Coturnix japonica: one gene and its partners. The protein of the gene in region 1 interacts with the protein of each later gene in a biochemical or structural test. Links are inferred from orthologs where the notes say so. Each region holds a gene or a part of one and is shown in the gene's direction. Other genes may lie near its edges.

Region 1 (4,933 bases):
TTTTTTCTCACTTCTAACTTGCCGTATGGCCTGAGGAACAGCAAGAGCGCTTTATTCAGGAAGTCAGAAATAGGTTTCTACTTTACAGGTTCCATGTACAGCAGTCTGCCTGTGGAAGCTTTACATTTAAGCTAATACAGAAAGTGTCCTGATGATGCATGAACAGAGCAGTGTGAAAATTCACACTCCTGTGCTCACTGATCAGTGCCAACCAGCTGAGATTTGGTTTGGAATGAGCTGCCAGAATAGCAAATTGTATTGTAGAATGTGTGAAGTTCTCTAAGTCTTGGTTTTGTTTCTTTTTAGGTCAATGGCACAGATGCAGATTACGAGTATGAAGAAATTACTCTTGAAAGGGTAAGATGCTAAATGTCTTCCTGTACTTTGTTGTCATGCGGGGCTTATAACGCATAAATATGAAAAACCAACATATTTTAGTATCACAAACTGACAGTTCTTTTAACATTTTTTATCAGTTAGATGATATAAATTTAGTTTTATATTGAAACAGGTACAGTATTTTTTCTCAAGAAAAGTAGTAGATAATTTTTCCTCCTTCTACCTTTAGGGCAATTCAGGACTTGGCTTCAGCATTGCAGGTGGCACAGACAACCCACATATTGGGGATGATTCAAGTATTTTCATTACAAAAATTATAGCCGGAGGTGCAGCTGCACAGGATGGAAGATTACGGTATGACGACTTCCTGTATTGGGTTGCTAAGTGTTTATTATTGTTTGTCAAACAGTTGATAGAACATTTTCTCTTTGCTTCAATTATCATATTATGTTGCATTTTAAACAAGTTGAGCTTAGCAATTGCTCTCTTGTATGCTTGGTTTCATTCTGTGCCATATTTTTTCAGAGATACTACATATCCTCAATAGCCATAATTTTGTTTAAAGTGATAGAGTTATTCTGTAGCACCCCTTATTTTCTTATTTATTTATGGGATGACTACTTACCTACTAGTAAGGAAGTGTTCATTCACCATTAGATAGTAGCAAGTGATATTTGCAACTTGAAATTGCATATTAATAACAAACTGCTTTTATGAATTATTTGAAATTGTTTTTAAATATCAAGCTGTCTTTCAATAAACTCTTGTGTAACTGCATAGAGGAAAAATAAAACAAGAAAAGCTGTTTGGAAGCCTGGCTTTTTTGTGTCTTGTTCTCTGGAGAACTTGTCCCTACCTTATTTTGTGCAAACGCCTGATGACTTAAGTGTTTTAGTCTTATTAAGCTTATTTCAGGACTTTGTTTTAGCCTGTTTGGCACTGTCAGAAGATACATCTGGCAGAACTTAGGGACAAGTGGGTCAGACATTCTACTTACTGTAATGAGAGCTCAGTGTTACTACAGCAACACATTAAATGGAAAGAAAAGCCAGCACTTAAATAGCTTGTGGAAAGCAGGAAAGGAGCTCAACTTGTTCATATCATAGTTTAAAACTAGTGAATTCCCACTATATAATGCCCAGGGTATGACTTTTAAGTTCTTTTTTATAGCTCTAAATGAAAGGTATTTCGTACGAAGTCATCTTCAAAATTCTATCTTTTGTTTCATCTAAAGAGTATCCTCTGACTAAATATTCCATTTAGATATTTTCCAGTTATCTTTGTTTTATTTTTAAGCATCAATGTTTAATTTTATAGCGTTGTTTTGAATTACTTTAATTTTGAAGCAGAATCTATGTATCTGACTGTGTTAACGTGTCTTAGTGTATTTTCAATAGAATATTGGACTCCTAATGAGTCTGCTCTGCTATAACACAACAGCTGAACATGAATATTGCTGTCTCTAGGGTTAATGATTGTATTCTACGAGTAAATGAGGTTGATGTTCGTGACGTGACACACAGCAAAGCAGTTGAAGCATTAAAAGAAGCGGGATCAATTGTACGATTGTATGTCAAAAGAAGAAAACCAGTGACAGAAAAAATAGTGGAAATAAAACTTGTGAAAGGCCCCAAAGGTATGTAGGAAGCCTAAAACACCTCAGGAGATGGATAGAGCTGATGATACATTTCTGCACTTAGAACTTAAAGAACACAGTACGTTGCATGTGAAATTCTAGGAGATGCAAAATAATGCCAGTTAAGGCAGACATATCACAGATTTTCATCCATGTTTGTTCTGAAGCTGTTCTTGTAGAATGTGTATTTTTTACTGAACTTTCAAGAATGTGTAGTTCAATTGTATTGCTGGTAGTATTTAATAATCTTCAAGTATGTTTGAGAGGCTACAAAAAGCTTTAGTGTATTCTTTTGTTTGTATATGTGGATATGTTGGAAAACAGTTATTAAAATATCAGTTATGGTGTTATAGCTTTGCTTCGTGTGTCTTTCACAATGCATGAAGAAGATGATTAGATTTTCAGAACTTCTGTGAATGTTGAATCTTTTCCAAAACTTTCTGGAAAATCATAGAGTTCACTTGGAAAGGCATCCAGTATTTCTTTGGCTGCAGGCTAGTATTTCTATATATATTTACTCATGGATGGTATAGGTAGCATTACTATTCATACAGTCATTTGCATCTAGGGAATGCTATAAGGTTTCTTGACTAATGACTTTATCTTCAAGCAGGTCTTGGTTTCAGTATTGCTGGTGGTGTAGGAAATCAGCATATACCTGGAGACAACAGCATCTATGTAACCAAAATCATTGAAGGAGGGGCAGCCCACAAAGATGGAAAACTTCAAATTGGTGACAAACTTTTAGCTGTAAGTAAAAGCAGCAGTGTTTTTTTTATGTCTATTTACTTTTAGACTCAGGAAGGACACGACTCAGTTTGTGATTAAGCTATGTTTTAGGGGAGAACTTTGAAGAACTAAATATTAAAAAAGATTTTAAATCTGCATCATAGGAAGTGCATATCTGTGTACCAGTGATAAAACATGAATCTAAAAGTTTGCTGTCTGAGGTAGCATAACATAACTTGGGTATTGATCACTGTGATAATTAGTAGTATGAACTTAGCTCTGATTTGGATTGCTCTCCAACTAGGAGAGAGGATGAATTAAAAACAAGAAGTGAAGAAAAAGGGAGGCAGCTTTGTGTATGCTTACGAAATTTGTGATGTCATATTTGCCTTGTTTGTTTTCCAAAATCATGTTTTCTTCTTTTTCAGTGTTACTGTCAGTACAGTTTACTATAATATCCAGAGCTTTTTGTTATTTCTGTTTTAATAATATTTCATACTATAAGGCATTTTATATAATTTTAAAATATTCCATATTTTATAATATTTCGCAGCACTACGCAGAATCTTTTACATAGTTGGGCCACTTGTGCCTTTGGTATATGAATCATAATAAGGACTCCCAATGCTAGGATTGCTTTAGGAGACTTCAGTGTCATGAAAACCTGCATTTTTTTTTGCATTGGAATTTGTTTCTTTTTTATATTTAGGTGAATAGTGTTTGCTTAGAAGAAGTTACTCATGAAGAAGCAGTGACTGCCTTAAAAAACACTTCTGACTTTGTTTATCTGAAAGTTGCAAAACCCACCAGCATGTTTATTAATGATAGTTACGCCCCTCCTGACATCACAAACTGTAAGTTCAGCTTTTCTTCATGGTGTATTTTTCTCTTTAAGGCTTTAAAATACTTCATTTTAGTACTTTAAGTGTAAAGCTTTTTAAAATGAAACCTCTCTGTTATGTAAATTTGATTAAAACTATGGTAGCAACTGCAGAAGCAGCTCACTTCAAAGATACTGCTGTTTGCTGATGCAAATTCTAGTGCTACTGTGAAACACTTAAAATATCAAAAGGATTTACTCTTAAGTAGCCTGTAATAAATCATATAAATTGTATTAAATATTGTGAATACTTTTTCCTGTTATATTGGAAAACAAGATTTTTTTTCTATTAACCCAGACTGACCTTTTGTTCAGCTGCTATTTCACTCACTCAAAGACTCATTTTTTCCCCCATAACCAAACATTCTGAAGTAGGAGTGAGGAAACCTTTCCTTATTAATTTGTAGAAAGCATTTTCAAATATGTTATTTGCCATCTATTTATTGAATTTATCCAGTAATAAAAAATATGTGGACTCTTCTTGAGAACCACTTGTACTCATCTCTTCCCATAAGTTGGTGCTGGGGGAAAAAGCAGCATGTTGTTGGTTTTTTTTGTTTGTTTTTTTAACCTGTTTTAGGGTTTTTCTTTGTTTATTTCACTGTTAGATGCAGTTAATAGATACCAGATACTTAGCACTGATATGTTCAGATAGTACCTCATATGAAAAAAGGAACACTTGGAATAAAGCAGTGATGTAATCTAAACCAGTATGTAATGAGCAGTAACAAAAATGCAATAAACGAAGGATAGAAGTGCCTTATAAGCCTTATATCACCTGGTTGGTGATGGCTACTGTAACTGTAAATCTATTCGTAAGCCTGTTGAATTGCAACATGGAGATAAGTTTTGTGTCTTGACTGTCTTATTAAAATGATGTTCTAGAAGGCTCCATTCACTGATACAAAACTAAATTTCAGCCTTATTTTTTTCATCCTCTGTTTTGTGCTATTGTCAATGATGAAGGAGCAGCCATTTTCCCTTATGGGATCTATTTTATCTGGTGATTCAGCCTTCCCCACTGTTTCTGTGGGAAAGAGATTTTTTTTTTCTCCATTGCATTTTTTGTCTTCTCATATAGAATTTAGATTTTCTGGAACAGAGAGGACCTGATCTGTAGTGTTCCTGGTAGTATCGCAGTGATTTGATTGCATTTTTGTGGATAGTGATATGACAAATGTAAAAGTAACTTCCCTATTACTCCTGTTCCTTTGATCATTGGGGTGTTTACTATTTTTAATCTATTTTGGGGGACAGAGGCAGAGAGAGGAAGGTAGAGAAGGACCTGGTTCCTGATAAAGTTGCCAGCTCCTGATAACGCAGTGATACCTGATATTAGCAAATGTCAT
Region 2 (3,981 bases), on another chromosome or scaffold:
TTTATAAGACAACAGAAGGCATCACGGACCACCCTGGCTTTTTGATACATCCTTTTAAGCCACAGGCTTCAAGATGCAGAGATTTAAGAACTGTGCCATGACAAAAGGAGCTCTGTTGTTTCTCTTACTCCATATAAATTTCTAGAGAAAGAAGAAAATTGCAACAGAAACCTGGTGAGCTGAGAGATGGTGGCACTGAAAGGAATGTCCTGGTGAAATATGTGATTCACGCCATGTCCTCTCTGAGAGCTGCCTACCTGGCCTTCTGAACTTGGGTTGTGTTGGGCCATCCTCCAAAGCTCTCTATGCCTGCGGTGCTCTTCCCAATATCTCAGGTGGGCTTTTGTCAAGGCTGCACTCAGATAGTTCAGATGATGAGGTGGTAAAGTGTATACTATAATACTGAGGACAGGTAAAGAAAAAACGATCTTAAAAGCATTGCTTTCAAAGGAAGTTTTGTTCAACAGAAGATGAATGAATGTCTTTCTTGATGGTTGGATGAAACTCTACCACTGAGGGCATGTTTCCTTGTGGGCTTTCTACAGTACATGGGTACTGTAGCTGGATTGTAACAACAGGGAACGAGTTTAGTTACTCTTTCGGACGTAACCCACAGTGTCAGAGCCGAAAAGAACTTTTTCCTCTGAAAACTGATGGCAGCCCTTCAGCCTTCTCCGATATTTACCACCTTCCATTTCCCTAAGGTTTAGCTGTGCCGTTCAGTGAAGTCCTCCGGCGCCGGGCACCCACGGCCGCCTTCCCCGGCATCCCGTGCTTAGGGAGCTGTCCAGCACCGCCGCGGGCTCGGAGGCGGCGCGGCCGGGCACGGTTGGGGCCATGCGGGGACACCCTCATAATGCGGGGACATCCCCATAGCGCGGGGACATCCCTATAGCGAGGGGGGGGAGAGCGCGGCGCCGGGGAGCGGGGCATTAAGGGGGCTGCTGCCGGGCCGCGGCGTGCGAGAGGCGGCGAGCGGGGAGGGGAGAGGAGGGAGGAGGAGGAGGAGGAGGAAAGGGCTCCAAACAACACGTGATTCCCGCGGAGCAGCGAGGGAGCCGGGGGAGGGGAGAGCGAGGGAGGGCGGCCGAGGCAGAGGAGGGCAGCCGCCGCCGCCGCCGCTTTAAAGCCTCCCGGCGAGGCGGCGCCGCGCAGCACCCGCGGCTCGGAGCGGCGCGGCGAAGCGCGGAGCCGGGAGCGGCCCCGGAGCGCATCCACCGCCGCCCCCCGCCGAGGGGCTCCGCGGCCATGCCAGGCGGCCGCCCCCGCGGCCCCGCGGCCCCGCGCTGCCCTCCGCTGCGCTGAGCCCCGCCGGCCCGCGGCACCATGTCCCGCCGCAAGATCTCCTCCGAGTCCTTCAGCTCGCTGGGCTCCGACTGCCCGGAGACCAGCCCCGAGGAGGAGGGCGAGTGTCCCCTGTCCCGCCTTTGCTGGAACGGCAGCCGCAGCCCTCCCGGCCCCGCCGAGCCACCTCTCACCGCCGCAGCCGCCGCCGCCGCCGCCGCGGCCAGCGCCGGGGCTCGCCGCGTTCCGCGCCGTCGGCGGGTCAACCTGGACTCGCTGGGCGAGAGCATCCGCCGCCTGACGGCCCCCGCGGTGAGTGCTCCGCGCCCGCCCGGCCTCCTCATGCGCGGTTCCCGACGGCTGTTCCAGGGCCGGCTCCTGAGTCCGAGCCCCGGAGCGATGTGCGGAGCTCCCCGGACCGGCCCGGTCCGCTCGGGATGCGGGATGCGGCGCAGGGCTCGGCAGCCGCGGCGGGAGGCGCACGCTGCCCCGCTCCGCACTCCAGCCGAGTTCTCGGCATTAGAATCCGGAGTCACAAAGTGCTTATTGCCATCTGGTGCTAGCAGCAATTCTGTATGAAAAGTTACACACGTCTGTATATGCATAGCATGCTCGTTCTTTACCGCAGAGGAGATGTTCTTGCGTTGGCAGGGTTTTCGTAGGGTTTTTCCTTGCTGAACGAGGTGAAAAGAAAGTTTGTGTGTTCTTCTCAGAAATACTGCAGCAACAGATTTCCCTGAGCCTCTCTGATGTGCCCACATTCCTGAAAGAGCCGTCTGAGGGCACTTTGGGGTCCGTGATTGATGGTTTTGTCTCCAGCTACACCTGTAGTGAAGCAGTGCATATGCCACAAAGAACAGAATTGGTGCTGAACGTGTGAGGCGTGCGGGCACTGCTGTGGGTGACTGCAGTCAGCAGCTCCGGAGCTGCGCTGGCTGCGTATGCAATAGGAGCTCGTTCTCCAGAGCTGTGTTACACTGCTGTCTCTGTGACCATCACTACATTTCCCTCATGAAGTTACAGCTGTAAGGGAACGCTTGTTGCTTGCTGAGATACCTTACTGTGCTCAGGTGTAGAACGTAGACTGCAACAAGTAGCCTAATCCGCACGGCAGTCACATCTGCTGAATTTGGTGGCATTGCAGTGTCTTTTTGGCTTTTTCTTATTCGGCTTTGGAGATGACTTCTGAATCTCATCACCATCTGCTGTCGGTGTGCTTTGCTTTTCATTCCTCTTTTCTGTTTCCTTGCTCGAACAGGCTGGATCCGAGCAGCCAGGCTGCCTAATGGGGGAAGTTAGCGGTGCGTGACCGAGCCGGCAGCCGTCCGCTTACAGCCAAGACTTCTCTTTCCCATTGATTTTTTATCTCCCCACTGGGAACCCAGGCTTGTCATGCTGAAATTAATAGATGGTATCTCAGGTGACTTGCCTTGTTTTAGTACCAAAAAATGAAGCTATTTAATTTGTTAATGATGCTGGGGTATAATTAGAGCATGTGTTACCCGAAATATTGGAAATATTCTGAAGTAGCTCAGTGCAGTATTTTTAGATAACCTTACTGTTTGTATTATCCCTTTGGCTGATACCTCCTGAAGCAATAAAAGACGGTTACGGCTTTACAGCTTTCATTCATTGTTGAACATGTTTGAAAAAATAAACAGATTCTGTGAACTGAGAGATGAGAAAACTTGGGTCGGTCTCGGAGTCCTCCTTCCTTCCTGCTCCTGGGGAAACTGAAGCTAAGAGTGCAAAAATTTCATCCCACCTCACTTCCATGTCCCAAGAAACAGTTTCCATTGGTTTCCTTTGGAGATAATTATCCCAATCCTTACTGCTGTAACGATCTTTATTTTCATTAATTTCAATATGTGATTCATATGATATAGAATATTCCCAAACTCCTTTTATTATCTTGGCACTGTAACTGCAGTTTCATTCTGTCTTACACATTTTGGCACCAGTCATTGGCATTTACGTTGGGAAAGTCACATTGGTGCCATCCTGGTATGAGAAAGGAATCGGTTTCTCATCTTTTCGTTCTTGACTCCGACACATCACTCTTCAAGTGCCTTGTTGTTCTGGTGCCTTCTTTAATATTTTCGAGAGTCTTTTCTGTGATGCTGAATATATGCTTTCTTGCAACAAGTCCAGTTACCATCTGTCTGACACTCGGAATCTGATCGTTTTCTCACATCTGTTGATCTAAATCAGGAATAACTTCAGATAGAAGTTAAAAAATGACACTGGCCATACAATTAGTGCTGAATTAGAGTCGTTCCCATTATTTTTAAAATTTAAAGGCAAATTGGAAGGGTGCACTTACAACTGTTCTTTCTGAGCTCTAATACTTTGATGCAGATGTAGGTATGTCTTCATTCTGTAAATCCATAAAGATTTCTGTTAAGTATGGAAGCACTGATGTATGTAGAGTGTGTGTGAATATATATAAAATAGATCTTGCCAGCAGAGGCTCAGTGTGTGCATTTTAGCCTTAATACGGCAGCAATCTGTTCACATCCCAGTGCTGAACACTTTCAAAGTTGAAGGACGCTACAGGTTCCTGATGCCAATACTTAGTTTTGTTCTTTCCTTTGGTAACAGCTGGGATTGAGATGCTGAGTCAAAATTTCTCACTGTATCTCCATGTTCTGTGTGTGTCTAGTGCTGCAGAGATGCATGCAGAGAGCTCAGGGGTGA
Region 3 (4,011 bases), on another chromosome or scaffold:
CTTGCCGTTGCCTTCAGCCATCCATGCGTCCTTCAGGCCGGGAGTCTGACTGCTGTGACACATCCGTCATCACACACAGCTCGTTCATGGCTGCAGTTGTCCAACCACTGCATTGAGGTGAATGGTTCTCAGACCCCTTCCACCTTAATGCGCTGCTCTGAAGGGGCAGCTCAGGAGCTGCTACACACCATGTCCCTGCCCAGAAGGGGAAGGAGCGTGCAAGGAGCGAGCTCCTGTGCATATCTGCTGAGGGTTTGTCAACACGCAGCAGGAATAAGAGACACAAAACACAACCATGTTTTAAACAAATACGATCCTGAAGTTGCAGCAATGCCATTAACTGCATAAAAACACAGCACGAGTATTTCATTGCTTGATAGAGAAAACATATCTTCATGTTTTTATACTTAGGACTCGGTATTCATTTTAACCAGTATTGCTGTATTCTTAATCTCTGAGCGACGTACCATAACCGAGTTCCCGGCCGTCAGAGGAATGCACTGATGCTCTGACCGCAGCATCCCATTCCTTCAGGTCACGTTGCGGTTCGCTCGGATGTTCCCGTTCCGCGGCAATAGACGCAGGTTGCAGCAGGTCCCGCTGTCCCGGCGCTGCTCCTGTGTCCGCTGCGCTGCGGATCCCGGTGCGGAGCGCTCGGTGCCGCCTGTGGCCGTGGCGGGCACAGACCGGCGGGGCACGGCGCGGCGGAGCAGCCCTGCTTTCTGTCGCTATTACTTCTATTCCACGTACTCTGCTTTCTGTCGCTATTACTTCTATTCCACGTACTCTGCTTTCTGTCGCTATTGCTTCTATTCCACCGGCTCCGTTCCTTGCGGATCCTGCCAGCCGTGCCGCTCCTTCCAGCCCTCACTCCCGGTCTGTGTGTTGGGAGCAGAGCACCCCATTCCCGAGCAGCGGAGCTCGGTGCCGTTCCGCCCAGCTGGAACAGGGTACGAGGAAGACGAGACGGAACAAGCCGCGTTCAGACGAACGATCATCGGCTCCGCTGCTGAGGCCGGATGCGGCTCCGAGGCGGCTCAGCCCGTCCCCAGCCGCGTCCCGCCCGCAGGTGGCAGCGCTGGCTCCGCTCGGCCCCGCCCCAGCTCCGTGCGGCCCGTCCCGGCGGGTCGAGCCGTGGCCGAGCAGTGTCGGATCCCGCCCCGCCCCGCGGAGCCGCTCCCGCTCCGTTGGAGGTTGGCCGTGGGCTGCGGGGCGGGGACTCGCCGCCTCCCGCAGGCGCTGAGCTCATCCCGCCGCCTGGCGCCGGATGGGCCGCGCAGCCCCGGGCGAGCGGAGCCGGGCCCGGCCGAGGAGGTGAGTGCCGGGCTGCGCCCTCGGCGTCGGGCTGCGAGCGGGAGAGTGGGGCCGGGCCGGGCGGGAGCTCGAGCTGAGCTGGGCTCAAGGCCCGGCCTGGGCGCTGCTCGGCCGCGGCTTCCGCCCGCCCCGCACGCGCTCCGTGCGGCTGGGGGGGAACGGCCGCGGTAAGTGCGGAAAGTACGGGAAGGAAAGTTGGTTCATCCGCTGTTGGGTGCGGGGGAGCGGGACGGGACGGGACGGGAAGCGGCCGCTCCTTCCAGCGGCGGTGACAGCCAAAGTTGTGCGGCGGGGCCGGGCAGTGCCGGCAGGGCCGGGCCGGGACGGGCTGCTGAGGGCGGATCGCAGGTAGTGCCGGGTCGCAGGCAGTGCCGGGTCGCAGGTAGCGCCCTCGGTGCCCGCTTTTAGCACCGGCTGTAACCGAGCACCGCACTGTGCTCAGCTGTGGCCCGGCCCCGCCGGCTGCACAGCCCCGCTCCTGCCTTGTACTTGGGCCCGTCCTGCAGGCACCCGGCGGCGCTGTGCGGCCCGAGCCGGCCGTGCTGCGGGCTGTGCTGGGCGCTGTGCTGGGCGCTGTGCTGGGCGCTGTGCTGGGGGCTGTGCTGGGGGCTGTGCTGGGGGCTGTGCTGGGGGCTGTGCTGGGCGCTGTGCTGGGCGCTGTGCTGGGCGCTGTGCTGGGCGCTGTGCTGGGCGCTGTGCTGCGGGATGCGCTGGGCGCTGTGCTGGGCGCTGGGTGCCCCGAGGGGCGGCGATGTGCCCATGGGGTGTCGGCCGCCCCAGGACCCTTCGTCCCACATTCGTTGTTTGCAGAAATCCCGTGTGAGCTCCGTTGTTGCTTGGAGCAAACATCCTGATGGTTATATAATTAAAAAGACCAGGAAATAAGGGAAATCGGTGCAATATCTCGCATCCTGCAGAATTTCCTCCCGCTGTGGTTTGATACGCAGCTGCCAAAAGCTCACCTCACCTCTCCTGTTTGTTCTGCTCCGGTGGTGAAGGGGTGGGAAAACAGTGCCGTGATGTTAATAATGCTGGTGAGCAGAGAAGGCGTGAGCGCGGTTCCTGTGCCCCATCGCTGCTGTGGGGTGTGTGGGGCCGTGTGACACGGGCAGGCTGAGATGGTGCTGAGCTGCTGGCTGTGCTGCTGCCTCAGTGCAGAGAACCACTGGAATGTCCGAGTGGCGATAAATGATATCTGCTGGGGAGCCAAAACATAGTTGGTGCCCGGCCAAAGTGCTCGGCTTCCCACAACAGTCCTTAGGAAAAAGGCATTTTGTGTGTCAGACCACAGGCCTGGAGCCGATGCCATAGCAACTCTGTGGTCTGAGCACACAGTTCTGGACACAGCTAAGCAATCTTCACAGAACGATGTTTATCTTTAGCTGAACTTTGTGTTGTCATCAGGATTCAGTCTCTCTGTGAGGATGAAGGATGGATGGGCAGGGTTTCACATTGCTGTGTCTGAGGGCATCAGCCTGCTCTGCTGGCTGCTGTAACGATGCTGGTGGACATAGCTGTAAGTCAGGATGTATAATTGTGGCTTTACCATAGAGGTTTCCTGTGGAGCTGCTGCTCTGACAAAGTCTGGGTATTTCAGGCTCTCCCAGGAGCCAGATTGCCGTGCCCTGCCGGAAGCAGGGAGGGCTCAGCGCTGGGTAACACATCTGGAAGCTCTGAGGCTGTGTCAGCATTGCCTGCGCCGTGTGGGGGCTGCGTGGTTTATTTATCACACGGCTGTTGCAATAAAAAGGAAAGATGCAGACAGCTTGTGGATAGGAGGCGGTGCTGCTGGAAAACTGCAGGGAGAATAGTAGGAAGAGCACAGTAAGGCATGTGGAGGGGGAAAGTGAGCTGGTTGCTCATTAATGGAAAATATCTGGTGTGTTATGTGATGCTGATGTACCAGCTCTGCCCCATCTAGCTGCTGCACACTGCACGGGCACCTTTCATCCTTTCCAAACCTCTCTCTTGAAGCACACACTGTGTATGTAGATAATAGGAGTGGAACAGCTCCAACTTCAGAATGTCCTGTTTCTCTAATACTGTTTAGGGCTTTTTGTTTCCTCCCCCCCCGACTCACTGAGTGGAGACCTGCTGAGCCATAGGCTCCATCTGTAGGGCGCTTTGGAGCTGGAACATTACAGCTTGCATTACTTTAATGGGCTGAGTGCTGGCCTTCCTGCGTGATGTGTGGAGGTGCTCTGTGCCAAAGTGTTCTTTGTAAGAGTGGAAGCAGAAGGCCAAGTCATGCCAAGGCCCTGTTACAGGTTTCTCTCTGCTGCTAGGAGAGTAACTGCTGGGATGTTTTATTTCTCCGTCTGGTTAATAGTCCCTAACCGGGATGTGTGTGATGCGCTCTGCGCTGTGCTGGGCTCCTCACAGTGCCCGGTGCATGGCAGGACGCTGCTGCAGGGCTCAGCGAGCAGTTTGCTGTGCTGCACACACCACAGTGCCTGCAGCGCCACATTCTAACAAGGCCTTAAGCACAGATCAGCCCAGCAGTGTCAGTGCGTAACTTCTTTGCATTGATGTTAGCAGAAATTCAGACGTCTTTGAGGTCAAGTCGAGCACTCCTACGTGCATCTTGGTGTTGCAGTTGGCAGCAGTGCTCAGCAAGTCACTGTGTACATCTGCTCTTCGTTTAATTTCTCTTCTTTAATTTGATCTAGAGTTAGGATGGGATTTTCAGTTTCATCT
Region 4 (4,017 bases), on another chromosome or scaffold:
AGGGAGGAATCCCCTTGCCAAAGGCCCAAAGAGGAACCCCCCCCAGGACTGTTCAGGAATGCAAAGTTATTGAGGCGCAGCCCTCAAGGGCAGGGGTAAATGTTACAAGTGTTAAATGAGGGCTTGTGCACGCACAGATGTTACACTGGTTTGACTTGAACTGGGTTGCATGCCCAAACAACAGGATTAGTGCTGAGTTAAGGTTGCCTACACCCAATATTACACCAGCATAGCTGCATCAATGCCGTGTTACGTTTTCCTTGCAGCCACAGCATTTCCAGGGCTTCAGTGGAGTTTCAATGCATACTTTTTTCTTTGCTTCTGTAATAAAAGGGGGAAGGGTTGGCTCTGCCTGGACAAGGGGCTGAGATTCATGCTCTGCACCTCAAGGAGCAGCTGTACCCCTCCTGGGTGACACCACCACCCCACGCTGTAGGGACAGCAGTGGCTGTGCCCTATGAGTAGCAGGGTGGGGCACACCCCCCCGTCACATGTCACCAACGACAGTGACCACAAGGAACCCCGAGCTCTGCTCCAGAGATTTTGTGCCCCATGCTCGCAGCAGGAAGGACTTTCTGTGCATCCTGTTTTGCAGTGACCACACTGCCAGGGGAGCTGGGGGGTGTCCCAGATGCATCCATCATGAGGGAGCAACTTACACTGCTCGAGGAAATCTGTACCACCACAGCAGGGGTGCAGTATGTGCAGAAGGGGGTACACAGATTTTGGGGGTGCAGGCACAGCGCTTGGTGGTGCGTGCACTGCACTGCCCAAGGGAGGATCCGCAGTGCCAGGAGTGCACACAATGCCGCCCTGCAGCCGCGCACCCTGGACGTACCGCTCGAGGTGGGGGGCACACACGGACCACCGTGCTTGGAGGGGGGTCCTCTGTCCCCACGGGTTCGTGCACCGCTTGCAGCTGCTCCACGTGGGTGACACTGCACGGACACCCACCTCCTGGGTGTACATCTGTACTGCTCGGGGGTTGGTGGTGGGGGTTGCCTATGGGGAAGCCCACGACGTATGGAGGTACACGTACCGGCACCGGGGTTCACCTGTACTACTCGACGGTGCTTCCTGGGGTAGAGGGGCAGTGTCCGCGGGGTGCACCGATACCGCCCGAGCACGCACCCGCCCCGCAGCGCCCAGGGGACGCAGCCCCGCCCGCCGCCTCCCGTCCCCCTTAAGCAGCGGACGGGGCGGGCCGCCACCTTAAGGCAGCCCCTCCCCCGGCAGGCCCGGCCCGGGTTGCCATGACAAGCATTTTCTCCCGCTAGCTCTGCAGCCGCCGCCGCCCTCCTTATGGCCGCCCGCGGGGGCTCCGCCGACAGTCGGGACGGGGCGCCGCGCCGGTGAGTGCGGGACCGAGGCGGAGGGAGCGAGGGGGGGGTTAATTCCCAGGGTGCCCCTTTGGGTGGGGCGGGTGTAGGCGGCGGTGCTGCCTTCGAGGTTCCGTTGGGGGGGAGCGTCCCGCGGAAGGAGCGCGCGGGTTTCGCCTTCCATAACGCTGCAGCTGCTGCGGGGTCGGCTGTTGGAGACAGTGGGGGAACGTCGGTTGGGAGGAAGGACACGGGACCGGCGCAGCAGGTGGGAGGGAGCGGGGGGACGGGGAGTTGTTCTGCCGTCGGAATCTGGGGAGCGTGGGGGCCACGCGCATCTCCCGGGTCCGAGCGGATCGCGGAGCGGTTCGGGGGGTGGCCGTGACACCCCGGGGCTGTGCGAACTCGGGCGGGGGGGAGGGAGGCGGTGGGGAGGGGGGAGCGCTCCGGCTGTAACAGCCGCCCACCACTTGTTGCTGCCCTTGGGAACAACCCTTGGGGGAGCCGGGGGAGGGGGGGGGTTGCGCGGCGTTCCCGCGTGGCAGAGCGGCGTGGGGGGGGCGGGCGCAGCTCGTGGATGCGGCCGTGGCCGGAGGGAAAGGCTGAGCGGGGTCGGAGGGGGAGCGCCTTGCGGCAGCCCGAGGGCAGCGCCGGGAGGTTCCGCAGGGGCGGCTCCTCCTCGGCCCGGGGCTGGGAGCCGCTCCCCGCCTGCGGCAGCGCTGGGTGGGGCAGGGGCTGCGGGCACGGTCCGGGCCGCGGGGGCTGCACGGCCCCCCTGTTCCCGGTCGTTCTGCATGCGGGCGGGGAGGAAGCGAGGGGATGGACAATGGGTTATTGTCCTCTTATCTCCGGAGACCTGAGGGCGGGGGGGTTGCTCGGCTCGCGGACCTGTTTGCGCCGCGGGGCGGGGCACCTCTCTGCATTCCCCCCCTCCCGCCCCCAAATGGGCGCAGCGCTCCCGGTAACCGCTCGCGTTGACTGCGCGGCTGCAGCCGCTGCGCTCAATGTGAACACCGAAACGCACCTGAATCGTTAAGCAGCGAACGAGCGGGGCTAACTAACACCCCCGGCTCTCCCCGCTCCCAGCCCAGCTCGATCCTTCCCCGCGGGGCGCAGCCTCCCCTGAGCCGCCCGCCGCTGTCCGGAGCGCTGCGCTCCGCGCTGAGCATCGCCGTATCCGCTCGTGCGGCGCTCCGGCCCCGGGCTCAGCGGCTGCGGGGAGGGACCGCTGCGCGCTGCCATTGTTGTGCGGCAGAAGGCAGCAGGGTGGAGCCGTGAGTGAGGAATTCCCCCTTCCCCGAGGCCTTCCCTGGCTGCTGCGGTGCCCCGGGAGCTGCGTGCACCCTCTCAGCTTCCCTTGGTTCCCCGCGTTCTCCCATTTTCGTTCTCTCTCTTAATTAATCTGTGCATATATAAGTATATCCGCGCGAGTATACATATGCATAAAATTTATTTCCCCTTGCTGTGCCGTGAGCACAGTTTGCTCACAACATTTCCACCGCCTGTTGCTGCAGTGCTGTGAGCAGCCCGCAGGGATCTGCTGCCCTGTGCTGCAGACGCTGCTGCTGCTGGCTGCTCCCCCCAGCCTGGATCCCTCCCAGCTGTGTTCTGCAAATCAGTGCTGCTCTCTGAGCCATCTGGAAGCTGTGCTGCTCAGCATGGCTGGAGCGATGGATGCGTATCCATAGGGGTGGCTGCTGCAGTGCATGGAGGTGATGCTGTCTCCCAAATTCCTCTGCCTTTTTGGAGGCTTCTGGGATTGGATCCCAGGGATGTGACATGAGCATGGGATGCTGCTGCCTGATGGCTGGTTGAGGTGGTGGAGGCAGCGGTGTCTCTTCTGTTGTACAGGTGGAGAATTGGTGCATGGAAAGGGAAATAAATGGGACTGGGTGAGCAAGGAGAGGGAGCCCATCCCTCTTTCCTCTCACTGAGCCAGTGGGCATCAGTCCTGTGGTGATGGGGATACTCCTGGTATAAGAAGCTCTGAGCTTCGGGCTTAAGTAGGATGGAGCACCTCTCTGCATCCCTGCTTGCAGGGTCAGTGTGTGCAGAGCTCCTGCAGTAAGGAGGGGTTGCAGCCCCGGCCTGGGGCTCCTGGCTCCTCATGCCCAGTGTGGGGCTGTGTGGGAGCTGCATCCCTGCCACCTCCTGCTGGAGCTTCCTGAGCTGATGAGACATCCTACTTTGATGTTTTAATGAGTTGCTTTTGGCTTTAATGCAGAAGAGTAATAGAGTTTCCATGGTCTTATAGACCCTACTTCTATATTTGTTAGTTGGAAAAGGGGGAGGGAAGGGGAGGGGGAAAAAAAAAAGGAAATGCTTGGCACTTGTAGAGTGCGTGGCACACTGCTGGTGTGCTACCCACCTGTGTCACTCACCAGGACGGGACTCCCTGACGCTCAATGAGCTCAGTGAGACACTGTGCGGCGTCCTGCCCTGGGGAGCTGCTGAGCTTTGCTTGCAGGAGGTGTGGGTTGTGGGGCACGAGCATCCCTGTGGCACATGCAGAAGGACGCGGGGACCCTGGAGTGGCGTGCGGGGTGTGGAGGTTTGGCAGTGGTTTGTGCTGACGGAGAAACTTTTCCTTCCGTGGCAGGGATGAGTCGGCAGTGGGCTGGGAACCAGCGGAGCTCTGGCATCCACGGGTTGTGTGAAAATCTCTGTCCCTGTATTATTTTTAATGTCCCAAGCGTGT
Region 5 (3,184 bases), on another chromosome or scaffold:
CAGCGATAGATGTGTTGGGTTCGGGACAAACTCAGATGAGTTTTGATTATATTGATTTATGAAGAGGATGGTGATTTAATCCCCCACCAATGTAAACAGTACTTAAGTCTCCTCTCCTAGGGTAAATGGATAGCAGACATTCCTCGCTGCTTGGTTTTGGTTTTATTTCCTCCATGAGGTGAATGTATGGATGGAGCAGTTGCATTAATGCATCTCCTATCCTCTGCAGTATTTCAATTACATTTCCTGATATACAGTACATGACTTAATGGATGACGCACTTGTTAAAAGCTAAACCTGGGTCTAAGCCAGACCTCCCTGAAACAAGTCTAGTAGCTTCTACCCTTGGGAAGAAAGTTCTGCAGCCTCTCTGCTGAGCCTTAGTTGCTGGCATCTGAGACCCTGAGGTGTTCTGAAGATGCCCATCCAGTCCTACCCCCATCCAGTCCCACCACTGGAGCCTTCTGCCATTCCCACTCACAGAGGGTCATTACAATGTTTAGTTTGCTCCCTACAACTCACCCTAATGGGAATGTAAAAACCAGCTCGGACGCAGTGAGTTGATGGAGTTAGAGGTACTGATGCAGCCTGTTTTCCTACCATTCACAGAAAACCCATGATTCCTTTTATAACTCCCACTTAATAGAAAAACCTAAGTTCTATGCAGTGCAATCTCATGGAAATAACTGATATTTGCATTTTCCAACTTTATTGTTGTTCTCAGTACATGTTGTCTTCCCTCTGCACACTCCCTTGTTTGACATAGGTAAAGCAGTCCAGGAGACAGACACTGCACGTCGTTAAAAAACTGTTTCAGTATTATTTGAACAGAGGGAGGCTAATGCCAGTTCTTTGTTGCAAAATAAACAGAAAGCCCCGTTGCAAACAGTAGATAGATTCTTTGCATGCCCGACTTTAAAGTGAATACTGCTTAGAGACTTGTGCGACATGATCACTTCAGGGCTTTCATTTGGGAAGAGTGGTGGCTTCTCTGCAGTAATGATGTCACTTTGGTCAATACGGAACTGTGCTCAGAGCTCTCACGCATTTCAGAAAATGTTGTCATTAAGAATAAAGAAACTTCCTGCAACTCCAGAGGAGTGATTTTACTTGATTCCCACAGGCTTGATTCATTATCCTTTTCCTCCAGGATCTAATATGACATTTCTCTTTCTCTTGCAGACCATGCCCTCTCTATGACGGTTACTTGTTAAGCTAACTCTGCATGCCAGAAGACTGTCCTTGGTTGATCCAAGGGCTTTTGGGGACTCCAGCCTCTCCCCAGTTTTTCTGTGTGTGTGTGTTCCTCTAGAACTTTCAAAACTGTTTCTCCAAAGGGTTTTGCAGAAACTTAGACTGTTTTCTAAAGCAGAAGCACCTCAGTCCACAGCAGTAGTGATGGGCAGCGTGCGAACCAACCGCTACAGCATCGTGTCTTCGGAAGAGGACGGCATGAAGCTGGCAACCATGGCCGTTGCCAATGGCTTTGGGAATGGAAAAAGTAAGGTACATACCAGGCAGCAGTGCAGGAGCCGCTTTGTCAAAAAAGATGGCCACTGCAACGTCCAGTTTATTAATGTGGGTGAGAAGGGACAGCGATACCTGGCAGACATCTTCACCACTTGTGTGGACATCCGCTGGAGGTGGATGCTGGTTATCTTCTGCCTGACATTCATCCTCTCCTGGCTTTTTTTTGGCTGTGTGTTTTGGTTGATTGCGCTGTTGCACGGGGATCTGGAGAACCAGGAAAATAACAAGCCGTGCGTCTCGCAAGTGAGCAGCTTCACTGCAGCCTTTCTGTTCTCCATTGAGACCCAGACCACAATTGGCTATGGCTTCAGGTGCGTCACAGATGAGTGTCCCATTGCCGTTTTCATGGTGGTTTTCCAGTCTATAGTGGGCTGCATCATTGATGCCTTCATCATTGGTGCCGTCATGGCAAAGATGGCTAAGCCAAAAAAGAGAAATGAAACTCTTGTCTTCAGCCACAATGCCGTGGTGGCCATGAGAGATGGGAAACTGTGCCTGATGTGGCGTGTCGGAAACCTGAGGAAAAGCCACTTGGTTGAGGCACACGTGAGAGCACAGCTCCTCAAGTCCAGGATCACATCAGAAGGGGAGTACATCCCTTTGGATCAAATAGACATCAATGTAGGGTTTGACAGCGGGATAGACCGCATATTCCTGGTCTCCCCAATTACAATTGTACATGAAATAGATGAAGACAGTCCTTTGTATGACTTGAGCAAACAAGACATGGACAATGCTGACTTTGAAATAGTAGTCATTTTAGAAGGCATGGTGGAAGCCACTGCCATGACTACCCAGTGCCGCAGCTCATATCTGGCAAATGAAATCCTCTGGGGCCACCGCTACGAGCCCGTACTCTTTGAAGAAAAAAACTACTACAAAGTGGACTATTCAAGGTTCCACAAAACATACGAAGTGCCCAACACACCCATCTGCAGTGCCAGAGACTTAGCAGAAAAGAAATACATTCTCTCGAATGCAAACTCCTTTTGCTACGAGAACGAGGTGGCCCTCACCAGCAAGGAGGAGGATGAGATCGACACGGGGGTGCCCGAGAGCACGAGCACAGACACCCACCCCGACATGGACCATCACAACCAGGCAGGAGTGCCCCTAGAGCCACGGCCGCTACGGCGTGAGTCAGAAATATGACTGGCGGACAATTCCTCTCTCTTTTGGTTGAAAGGAAAGATAAATAAACAAATACCTATCGGTCAAAGGCACATTGACCTGAGAAGTTGGCCCAGAACAGTTTTCAGACAACGGTACTGTTGAAGAGCGGCGTGAAGGCAAACAGACCTGGGAAAAGCCCGGCTGGTTTGAGGGCTGTCCTCAGAGGAGGGACAACAGAGAATGAACTCTAAACACAAAGCACTAAACATGTCTGAGTATGAACAGAAGGCACATATGTTGTAGAATAAATTATGTATATATTTTTTTACAAAACTTGAACTTGCAGGCAAGCTTTGGTTGGGTTATTATTATTTGTTTGTTGTTTTTTTTTTCAACTTTTTCCAGAATGCTTCTCTCTAGGGAACAAGAATGTTTTTAATGGCATAACAAAGGCAAGAATCTGCCTTATTATTATTATTATAATTATTTTTTAAAGAAAGCTGCTGCTAACTACATGAACACAAAGGGTTATTTTTGTTGC
Region 6 (3,960 bases), on another chromosome or scaffold:
TCCTTCCATCCATCTGTCCATTCATCCATCCACCTCTCTGCCTTTCATCCATCCACCAGTCCATCCATCTGTCCACATCTCCATCCAACTTTCCATTCCTTCTTCCCTCTTTCCTTCCTTTTTCTGTCTCGTTCCTCCATCCACATCTCCTCCTCTCATCCATCCATCCATTGAACTCTCTATCCATCCTTCCCTCCCTCCATCCCTTCTCCCCACCCTCCCAGCCCTCCATCCAACCGTCTTCTCCATCCCCACAGCAGCACTGGGAAAGGTTGGCGGAGTGGGGCTATTTTTGGGACTGTCTCCTTGGCAACGGCTGCCACCACCGTCTGTGGTGGCTTTTCCATAGGTGCTAAAATATTCCACGCTTCTTATTAAAGACGGTGCCGGTGGAGACGGGCGGGGGTGGCGAGTGTGAGCCACCCCACTGCTGGGGCCATGGAGCCAGGGATGGCTGGGGCATGGCACGAGGACAGCTAGGGGTTGGTGACATCTTTGTCTGTGATGTCCCATTGTCCATCCCAAAGGCCCAACCAAGCTGGTTGCACAGTGCATGGGTGCAGCTGTTTGTCCGTGTGGGGGAACCACCACCATGGTCGTGTGTTCCTCCCCATCCTCAGCAACACAGTGAGGTTTTTGGGATGAGTTGAGGCACTGCAAGGTGGTTTCACCCCTTGGGGTGCGAACACCATGGTCACACTGGGATGTGTCACATCAGCCTTGGGCAAAGATGGGGCTCCCTATGGGATAGAGATGACCTCCAACTTGGTGTCCCTAAGCATGGGGCTCCTTATTGGATGGGCAATGACCCCCAGCCTGGGGACTGGGATAGTAGGGACAGAGGGGTCGGACAACCCCATCCAGCTGCAGGGAGCAGCAGTGCGGAGCTGTTTGCAGGATGTTGGCTGCTCTCCCTGCTTGCAGCTGTGGACGGATGCTGAGAGGTGCTAAAAATATTCTCTGCTCCTCCCGGTGAGAGTTCTCCAGGAGGTGACCTGGAAGCCCCCGAGATGCCTCCGGGGAGCTCCCAGCAGAGACAATCCAAGGGGAGCTGAGTCCTTGCCTGGAGCCAGGTCTCAGCCCATAATGTGGGGTCCTGGTGGGAAAATCCTACAGTTCACGGCCGGGGTATGTGGCCACTCCATTGTCCCCACTGCTGATGGATGCTTTCCCGTCTCCCCCATGGCAGCTCGGCAGTGCGTATCCATGGCTCTGAGATCACATGCGAGGATGGGCTAAAGTAGCGGAAAGCTGTTGGATCCTACCACAGAGTTACTGACTTCTTAGCTACAGACTGCATAGCAATCAGAGAGGGGGAGAGGGAGCCAGGGAACGGGAGCAGGGAGAGGCGGCGCAGAGATTTTGGGGTGAGAGCAGGGAGGTGCAGAGAGAGGACTGAAGGGCAGAGGGGACGAGGCAGGAGGGGGAGAGCAGAACCGTCGCTGAGAGCTCGTGGGATGGATGGGAGCGAAGCACGCTGAGCGGAGGAGGAGAGGAGCTGGGCACGGTGAGCTGGGGCTCCTCAGGAATCCAACAACCCGGAGCTGCAGAGAACCCACTGGGTGAGCCCAGGAGCTCTGGGGCACGATGGAGACGCCGACTGCTGACCCCATCCTCTGACTCTGGCTCCCAGGCGGCCCCAGCACGATGCGGTAAGAGATGCCGGGCAGCTCCCGGTGCAGCAACGGGAGGTTTTGCCTGTGAAAATGCTGTCGTGCTAGTGCTGAGGAAGGCTATAAATATAACTTAGATGTGAGTAGCTTCATGTGAATGTGTCCGTGAATAGCAAAGTTGCTGTGTGCGTGGCAGATGTAAATACCGCTAACAGAGCGTGACGGTGTGGAGGGCACCTCCTCGTCAGCCTCCCCAACTTTCCTCCTTTGCCCTGCAGGTAACTTGTGTGGTTTTTCAGTGCTCCCTCACCCCGGCTCTTGTTTGCTTTTTCCCTATCCATCCCTATGGACCAGCCCTGCACCGTGGCGTCCATCTGTGTGCGCTGCTCTGGGATGGGTCTCTCAGCACCAGGAAGCTGTTCTCCAAGCACAGTCTGCACCCAGGGTTGAAGTGTCCCCCTCTAAGCTTAGAGATTTTGGGGGTCCAGACCCAACCCTTCCAGCTCACAAGGTCCCAGCTCAGCTCTTGCTTGGGGTGGTCCAATGTCTCCAACAGGCACTGCCAATAGGGGTTACTCGGTGGTGTTGGATGCATGGTGGAGGTGATGGGCATCACCACTGTCAGCTTGTGGTCACCAGAAGCCTGAAAGGGGATGGGGAGGTGTGCAGGGAGCGTGGGGACATACTTGTATCCATTTGGCACTGGAAGCAATGTCTGAGCACCCCAACACATGGTCACCTCAGTTTGGGGCTGCTGACAATGATAATGACACAAAGGATAGAAGGAATGGACTCAGCGATGGGTTCCTTCCAACTCAGGATATTCTGCAATTCCATGGTAGGAATGTGGGCTTCTAGAAGGGAAACTGGTGGTGAGGAGGAGGAGGGATGGAAATGGAAGGGATGGATGGGAGAGGGTCGGTCTTCTCATGCTGCAGCCTTCCTCTCCTTCCACCATTCCTCCTCCCTGGGGCGTGCTGCCCGGAGGTGTCCCCCAGGCATTTGGCTGCCTGGTTCCATGCTGCCCACCCATCCCTGGTGTGGCACCACCATGGGGCAGTGGGATGGGGGATGTAGTGACGGCCAGCGGCACTTCCATCAGCACCCATGTGGAGCAGAGCACTTAATTGCAATCCGCCTTCAGCAAATTCCCACTTTCCTGGGTCACTGCATTATGGCATTGGGTTCGTTCAACCCGACGGCGACCGGGGATCGATAGATGGACGTGCCTGTCTTCGCAGTCAATCCCTGCTCACAAACACAACCACCTTTCTGCCAATGGCACTGGTTGGACACAGCTCTCCTGCAAGCAACTGTGTTGGATATAGGACCAACGAATGGATATGGTTCTCCTGGAGCACCGGGGGCTCTGGGGAGGAGGGGACAACACTGGGAGGTGTGAGAGCAGTGGGGGCTGGGGAGGGGGCTCAGCCTCTGCTCTGGCTGTGTCAACCTTCGTGCGTAGCCCTTTTTTATCTGTTTTCTGCCTTTCTCTCCCTTTCTCTCCTCTCCCCCCTCTGTCGGTATGTGGGCTGATCACTGCTCAAACTTTTAATTCAGATGGTAATTGGAATAATAATACGGGCAGAATCCTTCTGGCTCTGTTGCTGCAGCTGGCTTCGGGGAGCTATGAATAGCTCTGAGTCACACACTGAGAGGCTTCAACTTCAGATCATTTTGTTTTGTTTTCATATTACCCGTGCCCGGGGCTTCACAGGGGGGAAATATCCCCTCACTCGCTCCACCCCGAAATGCAAACAGGGCAGAGGGACATATGTGTCACCCAATGGGGGAGCAGGGGTCAGCTCACCGTGATTGCGGGCACACGGGGACTGCTGGCACCCACCCGATCTATTTATAATTATTGAGAGAAAAGGCAGCAGCATGTCTATATAAATGGCGCAGAGCTCCCTCCCCTCACCTGCCCCATGCCATGTGCCTTTTGCTCTCCTGCATGGCTCCAACACCCTCGCTAATGAGATCTAGGGTTAATGAGAGGCACTGAGCCCACATGTTAGCCCACATGCAGGGGCTCAGGGAGGGATGGGGGATGCTGCAGGTGTGTAGTTCTGCTTGAGCCTGGGAGTCCCCATAGCCAAGGCATCCCCATAAAAGGGGTCTCCATACTAAGGGCTTCTCATACCAAGGGGTTCCCATACCAAAGGGGTCCCCGTACCCAAGGGGACCCCATACCCAAAACATCCACATACCTAAGAAGTCCCCATACCCAAGTGGCCCCCATACCCAAGTGGTCCCCACGCCCAAGGGGTCTCATGCTCATGGGGCTTCTGTACCAAGAGGTCCCTGTACCCAAGGGGTCTCTACACCATGGGATCTCCATACTGAG

Evidence for each region. The genes of interacting proteins can lie anywhere in the genome.
Region 2: the proteins of DLG1 (region 1) and GUCY1A2 interact in a test that uses a peptide from one of them, tested with the Homo sapiens proteins (2 studies listed by IntAct, with this or other methods). The link is inferred for Coturnix japonica from reciprocal best matches to the Homo sapiens genes DLG1 and GUCY1A2.
Region 3: the proteins of DLG1 (region 1) and TANC1 interact in a test that uses a peptide from one of them, tested with the Homo sapiens proteins (2 studies listed by IntAct, with this or other methods). The link is inferred for Coturnix japonica from reciprocal best matches to the Homo sapiens genes DLG1 and TANC1.
Region 4: the proteins of DLG1 (region 1) and plasma membrane calcium-transporting ATPase 4 form a complex in vitro, tested with the Homo sapiens proteins (2 studies listed by BioGRID and IntAct, with this or other methods). The link is inferred for Coturnix japonica from reciprocal best matches to the Homo sapiens genes DLG1 and ATP2B4.
Region 5: the proteins of DLG1 (region 1) and KCNJ2 form a complex in vitro, tested with the Homo sapiens proteins (2 studies listed by BioGRID and IntAct, with this or other methods). The link is inferred for Coturnix japonica from reciprocal best matches to the Homo sapiens genes DLG1 and KCNJ2.
Region 6: the proteins of DLG1 (region 1) and KCNJ4 form a complex in vitro, tested with the Homo sapiens proteins (2 studies listed by BioGRID and IntAct, with this or other methods). The link is inferred for Coturnix japonica from reciprocal best matches to the Homo sapiens genes DLG1 and KCNJ4.

Annotation. Positions count from the first base shown.
Region 1 is NC_029524.1:10,748,076-10,753,008, reverse strand, and holds part of DLG1 (disks large homolog 1), read left to right. Parts: intron 1-306; coding exon 307-357; intron 358-568; coding exon 569-693; intron 694-1,805; coding exon 1,806-1,975; intron 1,976-2,585; coding exon 2,586-2,725; intron 2,726-3,413; coding exon 3,414-3,558; intron 3,559-4,933. UniProt on the Homo sapiens protein: Essential multidomain scaffolding protein required for normal development. Recruits channels, receptors and signaling molecules to discrete plasma membrane domains in polarized cells.
Region 2 is NC_029516.1:161,689,523-161,693,503, forward strand, and holds the start of GUCY1A2 (guanylate cyclase soluble subunit alpha-2), read left to right. Parts: upstream 1-1,181; 5' UTR 1,182-1,326; coding exon 1,327-1,596; intron 1,597-3,981. UniProt on the Homo sapiens protein: Has guanylyl cyclase on binding to the beta-1 subunit. Isoform 2 acts as a negative regulator of guanylyl cyclase activity as it forms non-functional heterodimers with the beta subunits.
Region 3 is NC_029522.1:33,247,947-33,251,957, forward strand, and holds the start of TANC1 (protein TANC1), read left to right. Parts: upstream 1-1,211; 5' UTR 1,212-1,314; intron 1,315-4,011. UniProt on the Homo sapiens protein: May be a scaffold component in the postsynaptic density.
Region 4 is NC_029541.1:4,878,571-4,882,587, forward strand, and holds the start of plasma membrane calcium-transporting ATPase 4, read left to right. Parts: upstream 1-1,217; 5' UTR 1,218-1,352; intron 1,353-1,459; exon of another isoform or gene 1,460-1,587; intron 1,588-4,017. UniProt on the Homo sapiens protein: Calcium/calmodulin-regulated and magnesium-dependent enzyme that catalyzes the hydrolysis of ATP coupled with the transport of calcium out of the cell. By regulating sperm cell calcium homeostasis, may play a role in sperm motility.
Region 5 is NC_029533.1:6,094,376-6,097,559, reverse strand, and holds KCNJ2 (inward rectifier potassium channel 2), read left to right. Parts: upstream 1-1,395; 5' UTR 1,396-1,398; coding exon 1,399-2,682; 3' UTR 2,683-2,684; downstream 2,685-3,184.
Region 6 is NC_029516.1:46,451,037-46,454,996, forward strand, and holds the start of KCNJ4 (inward rectifier potassium channel 4), read left to right. Parts: upstream 1-1,160; 5' UTR 1,161-1,647; coding exon of another isoform or gene 1,648-1,652; intron 1,653-1,664; exon of another isoform or gene 1,665-3,960. UniProt on the Homo sapiens protein: Inward rectifier potassium channels are characterized by a greater tendency to allow potassium to flow into the cell rather than out of it.